Xenopus tropicalis: one gene and its partner. The protein of the gene in region 1 interacts with the protein of each later gene in a pairwise test. Links are inferred from orthologs where the notes say so. Each region holds a gene or a part of one and is shown in the gene's direction. Other genes may lie near its edges. The genes, in order: nelfb and nelfe.

Region 1 (11,644 bases):
TCAGAAATCAAAGAAACGGTTACTGCAAAGTGACTTTCAAATATGTTACAGGTTTTAGAATTTTTGTTTTTGAATAAACTTTCTCTCTATTAATTCCATTGAAACAAAGTCACTTTTTGCTTCTTTTTGTTTCTTTAAAGGTACATGGGAACTGAGGGTTGATCTACAAGACTTTGAGAACGCAAAGCACTTCGCTAAATACGAATCCTTCCGGATTCTGGGGGAGTCAGAGAAATTTAAGTTATTAATTGGAGCCATGAAGGGGGGTAATATAGGTAAGTGAACAGTATTAATTCTCTTTGTTGCAATATACAAATTTTTTGTATTCGGACTCAATCCGAAACTTTCGTACTCGTTGCGGCAATCCGATTTTATCGCGTAATTTTTGACGCACAGTACGAAAAAGCTGCGCAAATTAGCGCAAAAAAATCTCAGGAAATGCGCACAGTTCTATAAATTAGATAAAATACAAACTTTTTGTATTCGGACTCAACCTGAAACTTTCGTACTCGTTGCTACAATACGATTTTGTCACGTAATGTTTTCCGCACAGTACAGAAAAGCTGCGCAGATTAGCTTGAAAATCTCAGAAAATACGCACCGTTCTATAAATTAGATACAAAAATTCATATTTTATTTGGACTCAATCCGAAACTTTCGTACTCGTTGTGGAAAAAATCCAATTTTGTTGCGAAATTTTTGCCACACAGTACGAAAAAGTTGAGAAAATTAGCAAGGTACGAAAACGTATTTTTTGTATTCGGAGGCAATCGTACTGATAAATGCCCCCCCCCCTAATATTGGCCATTCTATAACATACTAAGGGGCATATTTACTTATCCATGAACGCTCCAATTGTTCGATCGGTCCAATCGTATTTTACGTGACTTTTTCGTACCTTGTGCGACTATATCGACGCATACGCGACTTTTCTGTATTTTTAGCACGAATAAATCGGATCGGTTTTGCAGCTGTTTACAATCGTTCGGTACGAAAATTTAGTGATTTTCGGATCGCCAATACGATATTATCGTGACTAATACGATTTTTTTCGTAAGCATTTTCGGGATATTTACGATCTTCAGAAATTTTCGTTTCCAATCCGAATTTTTCCCATTCGGGATTCGAACTCGTGTTTTGATAAGTCTGCCCCTAAAAGTTAACTTTAGGGTAACCCACCCCTTTACAAAAATATCATTAATAATCAGATGGAGAGGAATTACGTTCGAGCTTGTGTGTAACGTCATGTTTCTCTTATTTTCAGAGGATGCTATGAAGGTTCACAACACCATGCCATTTTCCACCAAGGACCAAGACAACGACATACTGCCGGAACACTGTGCCGATAGATATAAGGGAGGATGGTGGTACAACGGCTGCCATCATTCAAACCTGAATGGGTTGTACTTGTTAGGAAGTCACAGCAATACGGCCGAGGGGATCAACTGGTACGGAGGCAGAGGGCACAACTATTCCTACAAACGTTCCGAAATGAAAATTAGGCCTTCGTAAACTCTCAGTAATTACATTTTAAAACCCTACGGGGCCTAAAATCAAGGGGCGGATTCATCACCATGTAACGTTTTTCACGTTTTTGCGGCAAAAATCACAAATTCAAGTTTCTGAAATTAGGGATTATTAAAAACCCTGCCAATCCATGTAGAAGTCGATGAGAATTGTATTTTCAAAATTCATTTGGACACTTGGCTTGTTGAAAATAAAGGCTAGAATGTGACTTCAGTGCAAGTTTGTTTGTTTTTTGTCTTTCAAATAAGTATATTTTTAAACTTCTGTGTCTTCAAATAAAAAAAAAACTTAAAAATTCAAATACAGGTATCGGATCTCTTATCCGGAAACCCGTTATCAAGAAAGTTCCGAATTATGGGAAGGTCATCTCCCATAGACTCCATTATAAGAAATAATTCTAATTTTTAAAAATGATTCCTTTTCTCTGTAATAATAAAACAGTACCTGTACTTGATCCCAACTAAGATATAATTACCCCTTATTGGGGCAGAACAGCCCTATTGGGTTTATTTCATGGTTAAATGATTCCCTTTTCTCTGTAATAATAAAACAGTACCTGTACTTGATCCCAACTAAGATATAATTACCCCTTATTGGGGCAGAACAGCCCTATTGGGTTTATTTAATGGTTAAATGATTCCCTTTTCTCTGTAATAATAAAACAGTACCTGTACTTGATCCCAACTAAGATATAATTACCCCTTATCGGGGCAGAACAGCCCTATTGGGTTTATTTAATGGTTAAATGATTCCCTTTTCTCTGTAATAATAAAACAGTACCTGTACTTGATCCCAACTAAGATATAATTACCCCTTATTGGGGGCAGAACAGCCCTATTGGGTTTATTTAATGGTTAAATGACCTACTGGGAGCTGCTATCTTGCTCCCTTCCCATGGCTTTCAGAAGGAGCCGGTGCTACACATTAGAACTGCTTTCAGCTAACCTATTGTTTCTCCTACTCCCATGTAACTGGAGGAGTCCCAAGCCGGACTTGGATTTCTTACTATTGAGTGCTATTCTGATACCTACTGGGAGCTGCTATCTTGCTCCCTTCCCATTGTTCTGCTGATCGGCTGCTGGGGGTGAGGGGGGGGGGGATATCACTCTAACTTGCAGCGCAGCAGTAAAGTGTGCTTGAAGTTTATCAGAACACAGGTCACATGGCTGTGGTACCCAGGGAAATAAAAAATATGACTAGCCCCATGTAACATTTCAAAATGAAATATAAAAAGAACCTAAATCCCCATATAACTCGGTCATTTTCACACATTACCTTCTCCTGAATTAGCCCCTGCTCTCTCACTGGGACCCTGACAAAAAATACCCCCATAAAACATTAATATCAGTATGTTCCACCAAAAATTCTAAAAAAATTAAAAGTATATATGGGAAAACCTGCCTTTTTAAATCATATAATCCCTACCCAAGCCCTGCTCCCCGTCTCCAGTTACTGGGATGGCTGATAATTCCCTCTGTGCCCAGTTACTGGGATGGCTGATAATTCCCTCTGGGCCCAGTTACTGGGATGGCTGATAATTCCCTCTGGGCCCAGTTACTGGGATGGCTGATAATTCCCTCTGTGCCCAGTTACTGGGATGGCTGATAATTCCCTCTGGGCCCAGTTACTGGGATGGCTGATAATTCCCTCTGTGCCCAGTTACTGGGATGGCTGATAAGTCCCTCTGTGCCCAGTTACTGGGATGGCTGATAATTCCCTCTGTGCCCAGTTACTGGGATGGCTGATAATTCCCTCTGTGCCCAGTTACTGGGATGGCTGATAATTCCCTCTGGGCCCAGTTACTGGGATGGCTGATAATTCCCTCTGTGCCCAGTTACTGGGATGGCTGATAATTCCCTCTGTGCCCAGTTACTGGGATGGCTGGTAATTCCCTCTGTGCCCAGTTACTGGGATGGCTGATAATTCCCTCTGGGCCCAGTTACTGGGATGGCTGATAATTCCCTCTGGGCCCAGTTACTGGGATGGCTGGTAATTCCCTCTGTGCCCAGTTACTGGGATGGCTGGTAATTCCCTCTGTGCCCAGTTACTGGGATGGCCGGTAATTCCCTCTGGGCCCAGTTACTGGGATGGCTGGTAATTCCCTCTGTGCCCAGTTACTGGGATGGCTGATAATTCCCTCTGTGCCCAGTTACTGGGATGGCTGATAATTCCCTCTGTGCCCAGTTACTGGGATGGCTGGTAATTCCCTCTGTGCCCAGTTACTGGGATGGCTGATAATTCCCTCTGGGCCCAGTTACTGGGATGGCTGATAATTCCCTCTGTGCCCAGTTACTGGGATGGCTGGTAATTCCCTCTGTGCCCAGTTACTGGGATGGCTGATAATTCCCTCTGGGCCCAGTTACTGGGATGGCTGATAATTCCCTCTGGGCCCAGTTACTGGGATGGCTGGTAATTCCCTCTGTGCCCAGTTACTGGGATGGCTGGTAATTCCCTCTGGGCCCAGTTACTGGGATGGCTGATAATTCCCTCTGGGCCCAGTTACTGGGATGGCTGATAATTCCCTCTGTGCCCAGTTACTGGGATGGCTGGTAATTCCCTCTGGGCCCAGTCCAGCCGGGAAGTAACTACAGAAATCAGGATGCTGCATTAACCCCAGACATGATATACATATGAGTGCGTTGAACTACAACTCCCAGCAGCCCCAATCCTGAAATTTATAGCTTAGGGATCAACTGCAGAAAGTAACAAATGGCAGCCACCCCCCAACCACATCCCATTAGAAAGTTATAGCACATCCATGCAGACAGCTTGAGCCTGAATAGAACAGAAATGGGAGCCTCTGTCTATACTGTCCGATGGCATGCTGGGTATTGTAGTTTTAAATCAATCCCAGCTGTAGTCTAAATGTTTAATAAAAACTACATTACCCAGCATGCAATGGTCAGGCATGTCAGGTTTACTAGTGGCTAGTTTCCAAACTACAAACAAAAAATAGCCCAAATCTGTACCTTGGCGGGTTTGTACTTGGGAAACCCGCCCGGGGTTTAAATTAGTAGCCCAATTTGGCGGAAAAAAGCGCCAAGCTGGTATGGCACATTCCCGCGCTTTACTAGCAACCGCTATGCGTATGACGTAATCCTACTCCGTACGGACCCGCCCCCCGTCGGCTACGCGCTGCCTACGTGCCCTCATACGTGCTACGTAACGCCGAAATCTCGCGAGAAGAGACTTGGATTGGCTGTCCGGCCGGGACCGACACAGTAGCGGCACTGCGGGAGTTTTAAATAGCGCTCAGGGGGCGGGGCGATGCCTCTGGGCTCCGACGGTTCCGGTACTGACAGGAAACAGCCGCCTGTTTGTGGGACAATGTTCGCCGGCCTGTCCGAACTGGGGGTCGCCAATGGGGAGGAGCTGAAGGAGACCCTGACCAATTGTACTGAGCCCCTGAAGGCTATTGAGCAGTTTCAGGTGCGAAACTGCCCCGCAGTGGGGTAGTAGGAGGGGCCCTTGGTGCTAATGATGCCTACAGGGCATGCTGGGAATTGTAGTTTACCCCAGACATAGGGAGGAGCCTTCAGGCTGCAAGGGGTGCTGGGAGTTGTAGTTTGCCCCAGACATAGGGAGGAGCCTTTGAGTTTAGGAGCCTTCAGGCTGCAAGGGGTGCTGGGAGTTGTAGTTTGCCCCAGACATAGGGAGGAGCCTTTGAGTTTAGGAGCCTTCAGGCTGCAAGGGGTGCTGGGAGTTGTAGTTTACCCCAGACATAGGGAGGAGCCTTTGAGTTTAGGAGCCTTCAGGCTGCAAGGGGTGGTGGGAGTTGTAGTTTACCCCAGACATAGGGAGGAGCCTTTGAGTTTAGGAGCTTCAGGCTGCAAGGGGTGCTGGGAGTTGTAGTTTACCCCAGACATAGGGAGGAGCCTTTGAGTTTAGGAGCTTCAGGCTGCAAGGGGTGCTGGGAGTTGTAGTTTGCCCCAGACATAGGGAGGAGCCTTTGAGTTTCGGAGCCTTCAGGCTGCAAGGGGTGCTGGGAGTTGTAGTTTGCCCCAGACATAGGGAGGAGCCTTTGAGTTTAGGAGCTTCAGGCTGCAAGGGGTGCTGGGAGTTGTAGTTTACCCCAGACATAGGGAGGAGCCTTTGAGTTTAGGAGCTTCAGGCTGCAAGGGGTGCTGGGAGTTGTAGTTTGCCCCAGATATAGGGAGGAGCCTTTGAGTTTAGGAGCCTTCAGGCTGCAAGGGGTGCTGGGAGTTGTAGTTTACCCCAGACATAGGGAGGAGCCTTTGAGTTTAGGAGCCTTCAGGCTGCAAGGGGTGCTGGGAGTTGTAGTTTACCCCAGACATAGGGAGGAGCCTTTGAGTTTAGGAGCCTTCAGGCTGCAAGGGGTGCTGGGAGTTGTAGTTTACCCCAGACATAGGGAGGAGCCTTTGAGTTTAGGAGCCTTCAGGCTCAAGGGATGTTGGGAGTTGTAGTTTACCCCAGACATAGGGAGGAGCCTTTGAGTTTAGGAGCCTTCAGGCTGCAAGGGGTGCTGGGAGTTGTAGTTTACCCCAGACATAGGGAGGAGCCTTTGAGTTTAGGAGCTTCAGGCTGCAAGGGGTGCTGGGAGTTGTAGTTTACCCCAGACATAGGGAGGAGCCTTTGAGTTTAGGAGCCTTCAGGCTGCAAGGGGTGCTGGGAGTTGTAGTTTACCCCAGACATAGGGAGGAGCCTTTGAGTTTAGGAGCCTTCAGGCTGCAAGGGGTGCTGGGAGTTGTAGTTTGCCCCAGACATAGGGAGGAGCCTTTGAGTTTCGGAGCCTTCAGGCTGCAAGGGGTGCTGGGAGTTGTAGTTTACCCCAGACATAGGGAGGAGCCTTTGAGTTTAGGAGCTTCAGGCTGCAAGGGGTGCTGGGAGTTGTAGTTTACCCCAGACATAGGGAGGAGCCTTTGAGTTTAGGAGCTTCAGGCTGCAAGGGGTGCTGGGAGTTGTAGTTTGCCCCAGACATAGGGAGGAGCCTTTGAGTTTAGGAGCCTTCAGGCTGCAAGGGGTGCTGGGAGTTGTAGTTTGCCCCAGACATAGGGAGGAGCCTTTGAGTTTAGGAGCCTTCAGGCTGCAAGGGGTGCTGGGAGTTGTAGTTTACCCCAGACATAGAGAGGAGCCTTTGAGTTTAGGAGCTTCAGGCTGCAAGGGGTGCTGGGAGTTGTAGTTTGCCCCAGACATAGGGAGGAGCCTTTGAGTTTCGGAGCCTTCAGGCTGCAAGGGGTGCTGGGAGTTGTAGTTTACCCCAGACATAGGGAGGAGCCTTTGAGTTTAGGAGCCTTCAGGCTGCAAGGGGTGCTGGGAGTTGTAGTTTACCCCAGACATAGGGAGGAGCCTTTGAGTTTAGGAGCCTTCAGGCTGCAAGGGGTGCTGGGAGTTGTAGTTTGCCCCAGACATAGGGAGGAGCCTTTGAGTTTAGGAGCCTTCAGGCTGCAAGGGGTGCTGGGAGTTGTAGTTTGCCCCAGACATAGGGAGGAGCCTTTGAGTTTAGGAGCCTTCAGGCTGCAAGGGGTGGTGGGAGTTGTAGTTTACCCCAGACATAGGGAGGAGCCTTTGAGTTTAGGAGCTTCAGGCTGCAAGGGGTGCTGGGAGTTGTAGTTTACCCCAGACATAGGGAGGAGCCTTTGAGTTTAGGAGCTTCAGGCTGCAAGGGGTGCTGGGAGTTGTAGTTTACCCCAGATATAGGGAGGAGCCTTTGAGTTTAGGAGCCTTCAGGCTGCAAGGGGTGCTGGGAGTTGTAGTTTACCCCAGACATAGGGAGGAGCCTTTGAGTTTAGGAGCCTTCAGGCTGCAAGGGGTGCTGGGAGTTGTAGTTTACCCCAGACATAGGGAGGAGCCTTTGAGTTTAGGAGCCTTCAGGCTCAAGGGATGTTGGGAGTTGTAGTTTACCCCAGACATAGGGAGGAGCCTTTGAGTTTAGGAGCCTTCAGGCTGCAAGGGGTGCTGGGAGTTGTAGTTTACCCCAGACATAGGGAGGAGCCTTTGAGTTTAGGAGCTTCAGGCTGCAAGGGGTGCTGGGAGTTGTAGTTTACCCCAGACATAGGGAGGAGCCTTTGAGTTTAGGAGCCTTCAGGCTGCAAGGGGTGCTGGGAGTTGTAGTTTACCCCAGACATAGGGAGGAGCCTTTGAGTTTAGGAGCCTTCAGGCTGCAAGGGGTGCTGGGAGTTGTAGTTTGCCCCAGACATAGGGAGGAGCCTTTGAGTTTCGGAGCCTTCAGGCTGCAAGGGGTGCTGGGAGTTGTAGTTTACCCCAGACATAGGGAGGAGCCTTTGAGTTTAGGAGCTTCAGGCTGCAAGGGGTGCTGGGAGTTGTAGTTTGCCCCAGACATAGGGAGGAGCCTTTGAGTTTAGGAGCCTTCAGGCTGCAAGGGGTGCTGGGAGTTGTAGTTTACCCCAGACATAGGGAGGAGCCTTTGAGTTTAGGAGCTTCAGGCTGCAAGGGGTGCTGGGAGTTGTAGTTTGCCCCAGACATAGGGAGGAGCCTTTGAGTTTAGGAGCCTTCAGGCTGCAAGGGGTGCTGGGAGTTGTAGTTTGCCCCAGACATAGGGAGGAGCCTTTGAGTTTCGGAGCCTTCAGGCTGCAAGGGGTGCTGGGAGTTGTAGTTTACCCCAGACATAGAGAGGAGCCTTTGAGTTTAGGAGCTTCAGGCTGCAAGGGGTGCTGGGAGTTGTAGTTTGCCCCAGACATAGGGAGGAGCCTTTGAGTTTCGGAGCCTTCAGGCTGCAAGGGGTGCTGGGAGTTGTAGTTTACCCCAGACATAGGGAGGAGCCTTTGAGTTTAGGAGCCTTCAGGCTGCAAGGGGTGCTGGGAGTTGTAGTTTGCCCCAGACATAGGGAGGAGCCTTTGAGTTTAGGAGCCTTCAGGCTGCAAGGGGTGCTGGGAGTTGTAGTTTGCCCCAGACATAGGGAGGAGCCTTTGAGTTTAGGAGCCTTCAGGCTGCAAGGGGTGCTGGGAGTTGTAGTTTGCCCCAGACATAGGGAGGAGCCTTTGAGTTTCGGAGCCTTCAGGCTGCAAGGGGTGCTGGGAGTTGTAGTTTACCCCAGACATAGGGAGGAGCCTTTGAGTTTAGGAGCCTTCAGGCTGCAAGGGGTGCTGGGAGTTGTAGTTTACCCCAGACATAGGGGGGAGCCTTTGAGTTTAGGAGCCTTCAGGCTGCAAGGGGTGCTGGGAGTTGTAGTTTACCCCAGACATAGGGAGGAGCCTTTGAGTTTAGGAGCCTTCAGGCTGCAAGGGGTGCTGGGAGTTGTAGTTTACCCCAGACATAGGGAGGAGCCTTTGAGTTTAGGAGCCTTCAGGCTGCAAGGGGTGCTGGGAGTTGTAGGTTACCCCAGACATAGGGAGGAGCCTTTGAGTTTAGGAGCTTCCAGGCTGCAAGGGGTGCTGGGAGTTGTAGTTTACCCCAGACATAGGGAGGAGCCTTTGAGTTTAGGAGCTTCAGGCTGCAAGGGGTGCTGGGAGTTGTAGTTTACCCCAGACATAGGGAGGAGCCTTTGAGTTTAGGAGCCTTCAGGCTGCAAGGGGTGCTGGGAGTTGTAGTTTACCCCAGACATAGGGAGGAGCCTTTGAGTTTAGGAGCTTCAGGCTGCAAGGGGTGCTGGGAGTTGTAGTTTACCCCAGACATAGGGAGGAGCCTTTGAGTTTAGGCGCTTCAGGCTGCAAGGGGTGCTGGGAGTTGTAGTTTACCCCAGACATAGGGAGGAGCCTTTGAGTTTAGGAGCCTTCAGGCTGCAAGGGGTGCTGGGAGTTGTAGTTTGCCCCAGACATAGGGAGGAGCCTTTGAGTTTCGGAGCCTTCAGGCTGCAAGGGGTGCTGGGAGTTGTAGTTTACCCCAGACATAGGGAGGAGCCTTTGAGTTTAGGAGCCTTCAGGCTGCAAGGGGTGCTGGGAGTTGTAGTTTACCCCAGACATAGGGGGGAGCCTTTGAGTTTAGGAGCCTTCAGGCTGCAAGGGGTGCTGGGAGTTGTAGTTTACCCCAGACATAGGGAGGAGCCTTTGAGTTTAGGAGCCTTCAGGCTGCAAGGGGTGCTGGGAGTTGTAGTTTACCCCAGACATAGGGAGGAGCCTTTGAGTTTAGGAGCCTTCAGGCTGCAAGGGGTGCTGGGAGTTGTAGGTTACCCCAGACATAGGGAGGAGCCTTTGAGTTTAGGAGCTTCCAGGCTGCAAGGGGTGCTGGGAGTTGTAGTTTACCCCAGACATAGGGAGGAGCCTTTGAGTTTAGGAGCTTCAGGCTGCAAGGGGTGCTGGGAGTTGTAGTTTACCCCAGACATAGGGAGGAGCCTTTGAGTTTAGGAGCCTTCAGGCTGCAAGGGGTGCTGGGAGTTGTAGTTTACCCCAGACATAGGGAGGAGCCTTTGAGTTTAGGAGCTTCAGGCTGCAAGGGGTGCTGGGAGTTGTAGTTTACCCCAGACATAGGGAGGAGCCTTTGAGTTTAGGCGCTTCAGGCTGCAAGGGGTGCTGGGAGTTGTAGTTTACCCCAGACATAGGGAGGAGCCTTTGAGTTTAGGAGCCTTCAGGCTGCAAGGGGTGCTGGGAGTTGTAGTTTACCCCAGACATAGGGAGGAGCCTTTGAGTTTAGGAGCCTTCAGGCTGCAAGGGGTGCTGGGAGTTGTAGTTTACCCCAGACATAGGGGGGAGCCTTTGAGTTTAGGAGCTTTCAGGCTGCAAGGGGTGCTGGGAGTTGTAGTTTGCCCCAGACATAGGGGGGAGCCTTTGAGTTTAGGAGCTTCAGGCTGCAAGGGGTGCTGGGAGTTGTAGTTTACCCCAGACATAGGGAGGAGCCTTTGAGTTTAGGCGCTTCAGGCTGCAAGGGGTGCTGGGAGTTGTAGTTTACCCCAGACATAGGGAGGAGCCTTTGAGTTTAGGAGCTTCAGGCTGCAAGGGGTGCTGGGAGTTGTAGTTTACCCCAGACATAGGGAGGAGCCTTTGAGTTTAGGCGCTTCAGGCTGCAAGGGGTGCTGGGAGTTGTAGTTTACCCCAGACATAGGGAGGAGCCTTTGAGTTTAGGAGTCTTCAGGCTGCAAGGGGTGCTGGGAGTTGTAGTTTACCCCAGACATAGGGAGGAGCCTTTGAGTTTAGGCGCTTCCAGGCTGCAAGGGGTGCTGGGAGTTGTAGTTTGCCCCAGACATAGGGAGGAGCCTTTGAGTTTAGGAGCTTCCAGGCTGCAAGGGGTGCTGAGAGTTGTAGTTTGCCCCAGACATAGGGGGGAGCCTTTGAGTTTAGGAGCCTTCAGGCTGCAAGGGATGCTGGGAGTTGTAGTTTGCCCCAGACATAGGGGGGAGCCTTTGAGTTTAGGAGCCTTCAGGCTGCAAGGGGTGCTGGGAGTTGTAGTTTACCCCAGACATAGGGGGGAGCCTTTGAGTTTAGGAGCTTCAGGCTGCAAGGGGTGCTGGGTGTTGTAGTTTACCCCAGACATAGGGAGGAGCCTTTGAGTTTAGGAGCTTCAGGCTGCAAGGGGTGCTGGGAGTTGTAGTTTACCCCAGACATAGGGAGGAGCCTTTGAGTTTAGGAGCTTCAGGCTGCAAGGGGTGCTGGGAGTTGTAGTTTACCCCAGACATAGGGAGGAGCCTTTGAGTTTAGGAGCTTCAGGCTGCAAGGGGTGCTGGGAGTTGTAGTTTGCCCCAGACACAGGGGGGAGCCTTTGAGTTTAGGAGCCTTCAGGCTGCAAGGGGTGCTGGGAGTTGTAGTTTACCCCAGACATAGGGAGGAGCCTTTGAGTTTAGGAGCCTTCAGGCTGCAAGGGGTGCTGGGAGTTGTAGTTTACCCCAGACATAGGGAGGAGCCTTTGAGTTTAGGAGCCTTCAGGCTGCAAGGGGTGCTGGGAGTTGTAGTTTACCCCAGACATAGGGGGGAGCCTTTGAGTTTAGGAGCTTTCAGGCTGCAAGGGGTGCTGGGAGTTGTAGTTTGCCCCAGACATAGGGGGGAGCCTTTGAGTTTAGGAGCTTCAGGCTGCAAGGGGTGCTGGGAGTTGTAGTTTACCCCAGACATAGGGAGGAGCCTTTGAGTTTAGGAGCCTTCAGGGTGCTGGGAGTTGCAGGGCCACATGGTTGGTGTATGGGTGAGGGGAATTCTGGGATGGGGCCCTCTGCCTGTGGCCCCCAGAAGCTCAGTGACAGCCAGAAGTGAGTGGGCGGGGCTAAGTGACAGTT
Region 2 (11,644 bases), about 70 Mb from region 1:
GACATTGTTTATCAACACAAGAGAAATTTGCACCAGGCAGTAACCCATAGCAGTGGCATCAGTGATTAACTTTTTTTTCAGCTGGCTGCTGACAGAACAATGCAAGAAAAAAATTGACTGGTTGCCAATTACAAATTTGCCCAGTGTTAATAAAAGATTACCACTGCCACAAACAAGTAGGCATAGGAAAATACAGCAGCAGCTACACGAAGATAAAATGTTTAAGCAGAAATGCACATTACAACTAGAGTTGTGTACTAATCAACTGCAGCAACAGAGGACTCGGTGACAAAGTGCAGTTTACCAATCCAGGAACCCCGATCCTTGAGCATGTGCTTATATACCAAAGCTTTCAAGACCAGTATCACATGGGGCCCGTGATCTCCACCTAGACTCATGGTTTTTCAAGACAGGAAGAGAGACTGCCTCATACATGCCAGTACTCTAGATTTATTTACACCCAAAGAGCACACACATCAGGAATATGAGGAATAACAGCTGGAATACACCTCTCATCCTAATTACTACTGTCTCTAAATTATATTGCCTTATTTAAAGAGTATTAAGTCCAACCTCAAACAGTATGGCAACCCCTTTTTCATGTATCCTGACCCATAAAATAAGAACCCCTGACTTTAACAATAGTGTAATTAACATGATATAAAAGTGATTGGCTCTGCTGAGGCACTTTCCAAATACTTCATGAGAACCACACAATTGAAAGGTCATAAATTAAAGGAGATGTACAACTGAAGTCTATGAAAAATTCTCTACCTAGGCAACATAGCAATTCCCACTAAATGAACAGAAAGTGCATTCTTAAAGTGCACCACAAATAAATATTATGAAAGTTAGTATAAATAACTTTTTTTTAATATCTGACAGTGCCACAGTAGGTGTCGAACTGGCCCCCAGGGATTCCAGTAAAACTCCTGGTGGGCCCAAAAAAAGAATAGATTATAGTACATAAAGATAAAAAAACACTAGGAAAATATAGAGGGTGAGAGAGAAGTGGGTGAAAAATAGTTTGAAGGTTTTTTTCTGGGCCCCTGGCATCCCACTCTGACACTGGCCACAATGGTTTTTTAGTTTCCCTTTAATGACCAGATTTGGTGTGTACCCGTTTATACACACGTGTGTGTGTGTGTGTGTGTATGTATGTATGTGTGTGTGTATGTATGTATGTATATATATATATACACACATACACACACACACACACTTTTTTCCCCTAAGTCAGGGCAGAATGGCAATCACATCCTCTGCCATTACCCTAATAGATGAAAATAAGAAAATTCGGCACGTTATATTTACAGCAAACAGAATAGTTGAGCTCTGCAATAGAAGGGCCACTCTGCAGAACCCGATGAGTGCCAAGCTGGCAGCTGTGCGGGGCACGCATATTCTAAAACGTAAACCACACTCGCTACAGATCCCTCACAAACCACGCCTATCCTCCTCCACTTCCATTCATTAGCTTGACACTTCACTCACAATTTCTCAAATTTGACTCTCCTACCCCACCTGTACTATATGGAGCACTGTCCTGTCCAGCACCTGTCACGTGACCGTAACGTCATGGCGAGTCTTGTTCCTGTCTCGGATATTACTGAGGGGCCGGGACTAGTGTTTCCATTTTTTTATGTGACGTAAAAAGAACGCGACCGACTTTACAGAGAGGTAAATAAACAGGTTGTTGTGTGTTTTTCGTTTCAAACATAGTAGAAATGTGTCTAATGAGTATTTTTTCAGTTCGAACCTGTTGGTATTTGGGAGCTTTGGAAACGTGAATGTTGAACAATGTAGGGCCAAGCCTTCCAAATGCGCACCGATCGGGGACTTCGTATTGCATTTGCCATTGCAACAAATTGGCGGGTCTGGTAGGGCTTCACGTTCTTGCAGTTGTCAGTCGGAACAACAAGGATAATGGAAGTTGTGTTACCTGAATATGGCATCTCCTGCCATGAAGTATGGGGAGGGGGGGGGGGCTACCTAATGTTGGCCAGACTTTTAAATGTTTTGTCATATATTAAGTGATTGTACCATTTTATGTCATTCCTACTGCATTTATCCGTCTGAAGAAAATATTCGTGCTAAAAAGATTTTATAGTTTTGTTGTGTCCATTAAAAGATAGAAATTGCCTGACAGCTGTGTTGCAGTAACTGCAAGCTGCTTTTTAATACCTCCCACCATGCAACCTACTTTCATCTCTCAGTCTCAACCATGGAGAGATTTTATCTATTCCCAACCAAGATCTTCTTTCCCATCTGATTGATTAGTAGGACAGTGTTGCTCGGATAGCCTCCTGGCTGGTAAAAAATGATGTTTGAAGCCAATGTTATTAATAAGAAAAAAAAGATAACAATATGGCAAGGCCAGAATGCTTTTTTTTCCCAGAGATGGTGGCAACCCTAGATTTTGCTGATTATTAAAGTGTATGATTGTTTCTAGTTACTGGATCATCCTAAAATCACTCACTACTTGTTTTTAAATTTTTCTGTGTGACTAGCTTAGGTTGGTAAAGGAAACATCACTTGTTATGCATAACACTTATTGTGAAGGTAAATTCAACTTTTGTTACAGTGTTGTATGTACAATAGACAGGCCTTTTACCTTAACACTTAATAAGTGTGTGTGGATATTTAGTACTAATTGTTCAATATTAATAATATTAAAAAAATAAATAAATATATATATATATATATATATATATATATATATATATATATATATATATATATAGTTTTAAACCTTGTTCAGCAATATGGATGTCATTGAATTATTATCTACATAGATGTGTCAGGCCACTGGAGAGATGTGGGTTGAATATGCTTGTGACAAGTAATGTATTTCATCATTGTTATATTAAGCTGAGATTTGGACATAAACTATGTTGTATATTATATGTAACATCTGTTTGTATCAATATTTATCTACAGAAGTACCCCTCTGTGCAAGCATCATGGTCCTGCTACCAACCAGCCTTACAGAAGAAGAGGAGGCTTTGCAGAGGAAGTTTGCAAAGCTGAAAAAGAAGGTAAAGACTCTATGGGGCACATTTACTAATCCACGAACGGCCGAAAAGCGTCCGAGTGCGTTTTTTTTGTAATGATCGGTATTTTGCGTTTTTTTCGTCGCCGTCCCAACTTTTTTGTGAATTGTCGCAAATTTTTCAAGCGCTCAATACGAAAAAGTAGAGGCAATTCACGAAAGTCGTAACGGCTACGAAAAAGTTGCGACAATTCGCGAAAGTCGTAACGGCTACGAAGAAGTCGCGACAATTCACGAAAAAGTCGTGATGGCGGCGAAAAAATCGCAAAAGATACGAAAAAGCCGCAAAATGTTCGTTTCCAATCCGATTTTTTCTCATTCGGGATTTGGATTCGTGGATTAGTAAATCAGCCCCTAACTGTTTAAAATAATAAGTTGTTGCACTACAGCAGGTCATTGTGTATGTGACCTTGCATTGTTGGATTAATAGTATTGTGTATAGTACTGTATGTATTGGTTAAATTACATTTAATGTTTAGGAAGACAAATTACATGATAAAAACACATATAAACACATAACTGCAAATTGTCTTAAAATACTAGTATCCTATTTTCATCATACCTGAAGTTAGTTTTCATGAGAACATCTCCTTTAAATAGAGGTTTGGAGGGCTAGGTCCATGTATATTAATGTATTTTGTGTAATAGTGGTGTGAAAAACTATTTGCCCCCTTCCTGATTTCTTATTCTTTTGCATGTTTGTCACACTTAAATGTTTCTGCTCATCAAAAACCGTTAACTATTAGTCAAAGATAACATAATTGAACACAAAATGCAGTTTTTAAATGAAGGTTTACATTATTAAGGGAGAAAAAAAAACTCCAAATCTACATGGCCCTGTGTGAAAAAGTGATTGCCCCCCTTGTTAAAAAATAACAACTGTGGTTTATCACACCTGAGTTAAATTTCTGTAGTCACCCCCAGGCCTGATTACTGCCACACCTGTTTCAATCAAGAAATCACTAAAATAGGAGCTACCTGACACAGAGAAGTAGGCCAAAAGCACCTCAAAAGCTAGACATCATGCCAAGATCCAAAGAAATTGAGGAACAAATGAGAACAAAAGTAGTTGAGATCTATCAGTCTGGTAAAGGTTATAAAGCCATTTCTAAAGCTTTGGGACTCCAGCGAACCACAGTGAGAGCCATTATCCACAAATGGCAAAAACATGGAACAGTGGTGAACCTTCCCAGGAGTGGCCGGCCGACCAAAATTACCCCAAGAGCGCAGAGACAACTCATCCGAGAGGCCACAAAAGACCCCAGGACAACATCTAAAGAACTGCAGGCCTCACTTGCCTCAGTTAAGGTCAGTGTTCACGACTCCACCATAAGAAAGAGACTGGGCAAAAACGGCCTGCATGGCAGATTTCCAAGGCGCAAACCACTTTTAAGCAAAAAGAACATTATGGCTCGTCTCAATTTTGCTAAAAAACATCTCAATGATTGCCAAGACTTTTGGAAAAATACCTTGTGGACCGATGAGACAAAAGTTGAACTTTTTGGAAGGTGCGTGTCCCGTTACATCTGGCGTAAAAGTAACGCAGCATTTCAGAAAAAGAACATCATACCAACAGTAAAATATGGTGGTGGTAGTGTGATGGTCTGGGGTTATTTTGCTGCTTCAGGACCTGGAAGGCTTGCTGTGATAGATGGAACCATGAATTCTACTGTCTACCAAAAAATCCTGAAGGAGAATGTCCGGCCATCTGTTCGTCAACTCAAGCTGAAGCGATCTTGGGTGCTGCAGCAGGACAATGACCCAAAACACACCAGCAAATCCACCTCTGAATGGCTGAAGAAAAACAAAATGACGACTTTGGAGTGGCCTAGTCAAAGTCCTAACCTGAATCCTGTTGAGGATGACCTTAAAAAGGCGGTTCATGCTAGAAAACCCTCAAATAAAGCTGAATTACAACAATTCTGCAAAGATGAGTGGGCCAAAATTCCTCCAGAGCGCTGTAAAAGACTCGTTGCAAGTTATCGCAAACGCTTGATTGCAGTTATTGCTGCTAAAGGTGGCCGAACCAGTTATTAGGTTCAGGGGGCAATTACTTTTTCACACAGGGCCATGTAGGTTTGGATTTTTTTCCTCCCTAAATAATAAAAACCCTCATTTAAAAACTGCATTTTGTGTTTACTTGTGTTATCTTTGACTAATAGTTAAATGTGTTTGATGATCAGAAACATTTTGTGTGACAAACATGCAAAAGAATAAGAAATCAGGAAGGGGGCAAATAGTTTTTCACACCACTGTAAGTGAAAGAAATCACTCACAAAATATGTGTACTAGGGGCTTTCCCTAATTGCATTAGTAGGAAAGTGCATACTTCAAACATACTGGACCTCTAATATATTAAAATATATTAAGTATAGTTTACCTTTTAAACAATCAAATATTAGTTTCTATATGCATTTTATAGCATTTGTCCATACTCTCACCCCAGCATTACCCTGTGGTCCAGCACAGTAACCAGTATGGTTTTATAGGATAGAGTAAAATGCACACTGTGCTTACTACAACCAATGCCCAGCTTGAGTGACAGATCTCACTATGGTCTCACTGTGGTTTAGTGCAGTTTAGCTGGTTGGATTATGGGACAGTGCTGGGCTGGGAAGTGGGTCAGAGACAATTGTGCAAAAAGAAGCTGCCTATTTTCTGCCTCTGATACTGATATGGTCATGCCATTTTAGGAATTTAATAGCTGTAATGAGGGCATGGAACTTTTTTTTGGGGGGGGGGGGAGTTGAGTATTCTCCTTTGAATGTATCTCTCGTGAGCACAATGTACACTTGTACTGTTTAAGCTCTACATCCTATACTAGTATATAGAAATTCTTAAAATCTGAGAGAAAATTGTAGCAGTTTTATATTGCATTTGAACAATAGCATGGTTCTTGAATTTTTAACAGGCTAAAACTACTGGCTCCACGTAGTTGCTACTCTTCTGTTTTTGTTTCATTCTTGCAGAAAAAAGCCCTTCTTGCTTTAAAGAAGCAAACATCCACGAACCAGACAAGCCAGACGGGAATAAAAAGATGTAAGCTGACCCAACTGTCCTACTACCAGCACATAATACATAATATTCAGTGTTTGTTTTTTTTATCATTCTGTATTCTCTGGCTCCTTGTGACTTATCTTTTATTTTATCTCTTCTGTAGTTGTTGTTTCTGTTGTTTACCATTTATATTTCATGACTTTATCCTATTAATCCACCTATTTTCCCCCTGTTTCTGGTTTACAAACACATTTTTTTTCTCAGCCCTCTCAGACCAGCCTGCAGTTGACACAGCTACAGCTACAGAACAAGCAAAGATGTTGGTGAAGACTGGAGCAATCAGTGCTATAAAGTCAGGGACAAAAAACAGTGGCTTCAAACGTTCTCGTACTTTGGAAGGCAAACTCAAGGTTCTCTTTCTTCACTTTGTCAAATGAAAGCTATTTTTGTAAATAATTTTTCCAGTGCTTTTTCCGTATTTTATAACTGCTAATAAACTATTTCTACATTTTGTAACAACCAATGTTTTTTTCCCCTTATATTTATTCAGGACCCTGATAAGGGACCTGTTCCAAGCTTCCAGCCTTTCCAACGTAGCGTTTCTGTGGATGAGGAACAGGCAGAGGTAACTGGGCCACAAATAAAATGGAAGAATTTATTGAGAGTTACATGGTGTAGCACATTAAATAATAAATTCCTCATTTCTTATACAGAGTTCCAGAAGGTCTCAGAGAAAATCACTCTATGAAAGGTAACAAGAAAATTCATGTTTCACAGCATATTTACACACTTGTCATTCACTTGTCTATGAATCTTTTCATTCATCCAGGTCATGATATACAGTATCTAGTAGAATAAAGTCTAAAACAGTTGGACTTTTTCTGACTTTGTTCCGAGTGGCTTCTTTAGTTCAAATGACTGGTAGGGAATATTGGACTGTGCAATAGTTATCAAAGAGGGGGACCTGGATATTGACGTATACAGAAAATCCACCCACAAAGATCAGTACTTGCTGTTTGATTCCCACTACCCTTTGGAACATAAACTGGGTGTTATTAGGACTCTACATCATTGGGCTGAAAATGTGGCATCCTATGCAGAGGCTAAAGAGAAGGAATACAAACATCTAAAAGGAGCACTGAAAACTTGACTGGGCCTTTATCAAACCTAAATTAAAGACAAGCAAAAAGACCAGACCAGCAAACAGAAGGGAGGAACACAGCAGGTGAAGCAATATAGTCAGCCCATATGTTTCTGGAACATCAGAAAAACTTAGGAGAATTTTCAACAAACCTCACATTCCTGTGTATTTCAAACCCAGCAACACTTAAAGTTGGTGCACTCTGAAGACCCTACACCAAAGCACATGAAAAGTAATGTGTTCTATGCTGTCCAGTGTAGTGAATGAAGAGTGCTCTGATTTATACATTGGGGAGACAAAACAACCTCTCTGTAAGGGAATGGCCCAACATAGGAGGGCTAACTACTCAGGTCAAGACTCAGCACTAGTAAAGTGCATATTTTGGAATGAGAGGACAGATGGTTTGAAAGAGGCCATTTATGCTAGCCTGGAAAAACCATCCCTGAACAGAGGAGGGGACCTGCAACACCAATTGTCATCAACATACAATATCGCTTTGACATCCTTACCCCGGCAGTTTCACAACAGTTCACACTTCCAGTCATGTACTTTGAAGGATTAAAACCTGCATCAATGAGAATCATGATACCATTGTAACTGGATCATACCTTCTTACACCTGTGAGTTTCAGCCAACACTTAACTGAAGTTCAATGGAACCATTATGATTGGATTCTCTAGGGTTTAAATGCTGGGGAATTCCCAACCAGTCAATTGAACTAAACCACTCGGATGAGTTTGTGAAAAAACTTAGAAAAAGTCCAGTTGTTTTAGACTTAATTCTACTAGATACTGATTGTTATTGACTTGTGCCAACGTTGGATGCCTCCTTGTGCCAACGTTGGATGCAGCTCTGGCGAGGATGAGATACTATAAACTTCTAATTTGATACATGAGTTGATACATTTTCTTATTTTTTGTCCTGCTGAGAATAGTCCCTCAGATTTATTAATTGATACAATAGTTGCTAATATTCTACAGATGCTGATGTATGAACTAATATAGTAATTAGTTACTAACATAGCAATTGCTAACAGTTCAAAGTATGCACCTGGATTACTGAGCTTCTAGACTTAACCTATCACCCTGTAATTGGTTCCCCCATCAGAGGTGCAGGCTAATAGGCCCAGCATTTTGGTTGGGGAAACCAATGTTTTCCTTTTTTTTTTTTTTTTTTTTTTTAAAATACAGCCCCCGCCATTGCTAGGCTGCCCACACTGAGAGGGAGCTTCCAGAGTGGGTGGCCGCATCGTCTGCTGCGCATGCACATAATGAGTATGTCTCCCCACTCACTCATTATGCGCTTTTGCCTGATGTAGGATTGGTGGATGTGATTCACCCTCCTACGTCACACATGAGTTGCGAGTTTTGGCATCCACTCATTATGCACGTGCGAATGCCACAACATGGCTGCCAGCAGCTATTGTTTCTCTTAATCAGAGTGCAGGCTCTATTAGCCTACACCTTTGGTGGGGTAACAATTTAAGGGGGGTAGGTGTCCTTTAAACACCAGAGAGAGAGAGAGAGAGACAGGAAAGTTTAAACTTCAGTATTAGAAAAAGAGAACAAAGTACAGAGTAAAGATGTATATATTTTTATAAACTACTTCTGTGTTATTCTACACTAATTAGTAGAGATAGCACAATAATTTTCTCTAGTGTGTTGAACTGTGTATAACTATTTAGAAATTTGGCTCATTAGAATGAGTAAATCTTTTAATCCAGATTTATTTTCTTATGTACTTCTTTTGTACCTTTTCCTTCCTAATTTTTTTCCCCCCTCATTCTAGTTTTGTCAGCCCGAGTGAGCGAATGAGAGATCCTGAGAGAGAAAGCGAGGAACGAGAGAGTGAGAGGGATACTCGTCGAGGAGAGAGGGAACTTTTAGAGAGAGAACCTTATGATAGAGATCGTGGAAGAGAGCGAGATCGTGACCGGGACAGAGAACGAGATAGAGACCGAAGTGAGAGAGACCGCGAAAGAGATCGTGAAAGGGACAGAGATGGCTTTTACCGCAGTAATTTGCCACTTTTTTGATTTTTACTGAAGCAGAGGGCTGGAATTATAGCTCTGCTATTCATCTTAGCTTCCCTTTGCCTAACTTCCTTACCAGGTCTTCATTTACTAATGATTTAACCAGTGCCTTTGTCATGCATCCTGTAGGATCAGATTCATTCCCTGAACGTCGGGCTCCAAGGAAAGGTAATACTGTTTATGTTCATGGTGTGGGCATGAACCAGACAATGCTTCGTGAGGCTTTTTCCAGCTTTGGGAACATTATTGATCTTTCTGTGGATGCTCCAAGGAAGTAAGTAGGCACTGTATGGACCTTACTAGTGTGCTTTTAGGCTGGCAACCTTTTAATTTTGGGGGCCTTTTATTCCCAGCTGTGCTTTTGTTACATATGAGAAGATGGAGTCAGCTGACCAGGCTATTTCAGAGGTGAGTTTTGCTGCATGGTTTCCTTTTACTGCCTCCTTTATTCCATTTGATACTGCTATTCTTTGTCATTGTCACTTTGGAGTATTAAACACATAGAACTGAAAAAATGGGATTTTGTTGTTTTTTTTTAAGCCGTTTTTGTTTTCTCAGATTTTTAGAAAATAAAGATTGGGCTCTTTATTTAAACAGCAAGGCTTCTAAAACTGTGCTATGCAGTGTTGTATGCTTCACTAAATGTTTGCTATAATTATCTGCTTGATTGTTTGCTATGATAAGTGTTGGAGGCCTTAAAGGAACAGTAACACCAAAAAATTTAAATGTCTTAAAGTAATTAAAATATAATTTACTGTTACCTAAACTGGTGTGTTTGCTTTAGCAACACTATTATATTTTATATAAATACCCTGCTGTGTAGCTACAGGGGCAGCCATTCAAGCTGGAAAAAAGGAGAAAAGGCACAGTTTTTATAACAGATAAGACACCATTGTATTCTACTGAGTTTATCTGTTATCTGCTATGTAACCTGTGCCCTTTCTCCTTTTGAATGGCTGCTCCCATGGCTACACAGCAGCTTATTTATATAAACTATAGTAGTTTTTCTGAAACAAACACACTACTTTTACCAGTGCAGGGAAATAGTACATAATATAATAATTATTTTGATACACTTTCATTTTTTGGTGTTACTTTTCTTTTAAAAGTATATCAAACAGCTATACTTTGAGAAGTTTAACCTCATGCCCCTATTGGGTCAAATTCCTTGAACCTCTGTAAAATTTGTTCTCACGTCTGAACTGAATTCTTCTTCTTCTAATTCAGCTTAATAACAAGGTGATAGAAGACATACCAGTGAAGGTTAGCATAGCTCGCAAACAGCCTATGTTGGAGGCAGCCACAGGAAAATCAGTTTGGGGTTCATTGGGTAAGTTGTAACTTTATATGTAAATGTTTCTCTTGCAATTTCTCTACAAATATAGTCATAAGGCTGCAGAGCTACATTATGGACTGCTGGTGAAAGGGACAGTACCAGCATGATATTGCTTTTACAAGGCAAGCTGTAGAAGGCAAGAATCTCTGCAAACCTGTAGCACCCGGTGGAGGTGGAATGTGGACTGCCTATTTACACTAAAGGGCAATTCAGAAGTTAATAGTGCAACCACATGGGTGCTCTGACAGCACAGGCAAAACAAAGAAGACTTAACCAATAAGAAAACTGTCCCCTTCTGCCCTGGATTGGTACTTAACATTATATAGTAAAATGTCACAGATTTATCTTCTGTTTTTCTTTTCCTTCACAGCTGTACAGAACAGTGTTAAAGGTTCACACAGAGATAAGAGGTCTCAGGTCAATTACTCTGAAGATTTATTTAGCGATGGTCAAACTGATGCTGATAAAAAGCCAGGATAAAGAGAAGCGAGGAGAAAGAGAATATTAGGGCCCAAGATCTCTATGTGTACATGGTACACATGGTTGAGGATGGTAAATAAAGTGACCGTTGACTATTTAAAGAAACAAGACTGTGCTTATATGCTATGCCCAAGATTTTTTTTTTTTAACTATAATTTAAAATGGCTTTTCAGTTATTTGTGGATATGTAGGTTACTGTTTGCATTGTCCCTTTAAATATGTACTCTACATTCCTGTAATAATGATTTAGTGACTACTTTCTACTAATTGGCTTTATCTCAGTTGTTTTGGGCACATTTACCATCTCAGCATGCATAGAGTATGCCAATAGACACAAGGAAGGTAAATAAAATTACTTGTATAAGGTACAACAGGAGGTATTGGGACCCAAGTTATTTCTTGAGTATCACAGTAATGGTATATGTTTTGTCACATGTAACAGCCTAAATTATAGACAACCTTAATATAACACTTTCCATTTCAAACTGGAGACTTGCTAGAAAAACTCACACACTCAACTATATTTTTCAGATGTGGTTTATCACTTAAGAACATATAAGTATGAGCTCTTCTGCTGTCTCAGCAGCACTGCAGCATGACTTAGAA

The links.
Region 2: the proteins of nelfb (region 1) and nelfe interact in binary tests that used the Homo sapiens proteins (3 or more experiments, as listed by UniProt). The link is inferred for Xenopus tropicalis from reciprocal best matches to the Homo sapiens genes NELFB and NELFE.

The regions. Positions count from the first base shown.
Region 1 is NC_030684.2:4,118,963-4,130,606, forward strand, and holds the start of nelfb (negative elongation factor B), read left to right. Parts: upstream 1-4,812; 5' UTR 4,813-4,854; coding exon 4,855-4,956; intron 4,957-11,644. Other genes in the region: fcn2l (ficolin-2), read left to right, coding at 141-275, 1,265-1,512. UniProt on the Homo sapiens protein: Essential component of the NELF complex, a complex that negatively regulates the elongation of transcription by RNA polymerase II.
Region 2 is NC_030684.2:74,052,615-74,064,258, reverse strand, and holds nelfe (negative elongation factor E), read left to right. Parts: upstream 1-1,644; 5' UTR 1,645-1,680; intron 1,681-2,940; 5' UTR 2,941-2,963; coding exon 2,964-3,038; intron 3,039-6,021; coding exon 6,022-6,091; intron 6,092-6,313; coding exon 6,314-6,459; intron 6,460-6,599; coding exon 6,600-6,674; intron 6,675-6,762; coding exon 6,763-6,800; intron 6,801-8,978; coding exon 8,979-9,225; 3' UTR 9,226-9,351; coding exon of another isoform or gene 9,352-9,496; 3' UTR 9,497-9,575; coding exon of another isoform or gene 9,576-9,630; 3' UTR 9,631-10,449; coding exon of another isoform or gene 10,450-10,552; 3' UTR 10,553-10,928; coding exon of another isoform or gene 10,929-11,038; 3' UTR 11,039-11,411; downstream 11,412-11,644. UniProt on the Homo sapiens protein: Essential component of the NELF complex, a complex that negatively regulates the elongation of transcription by RNA polymerase II.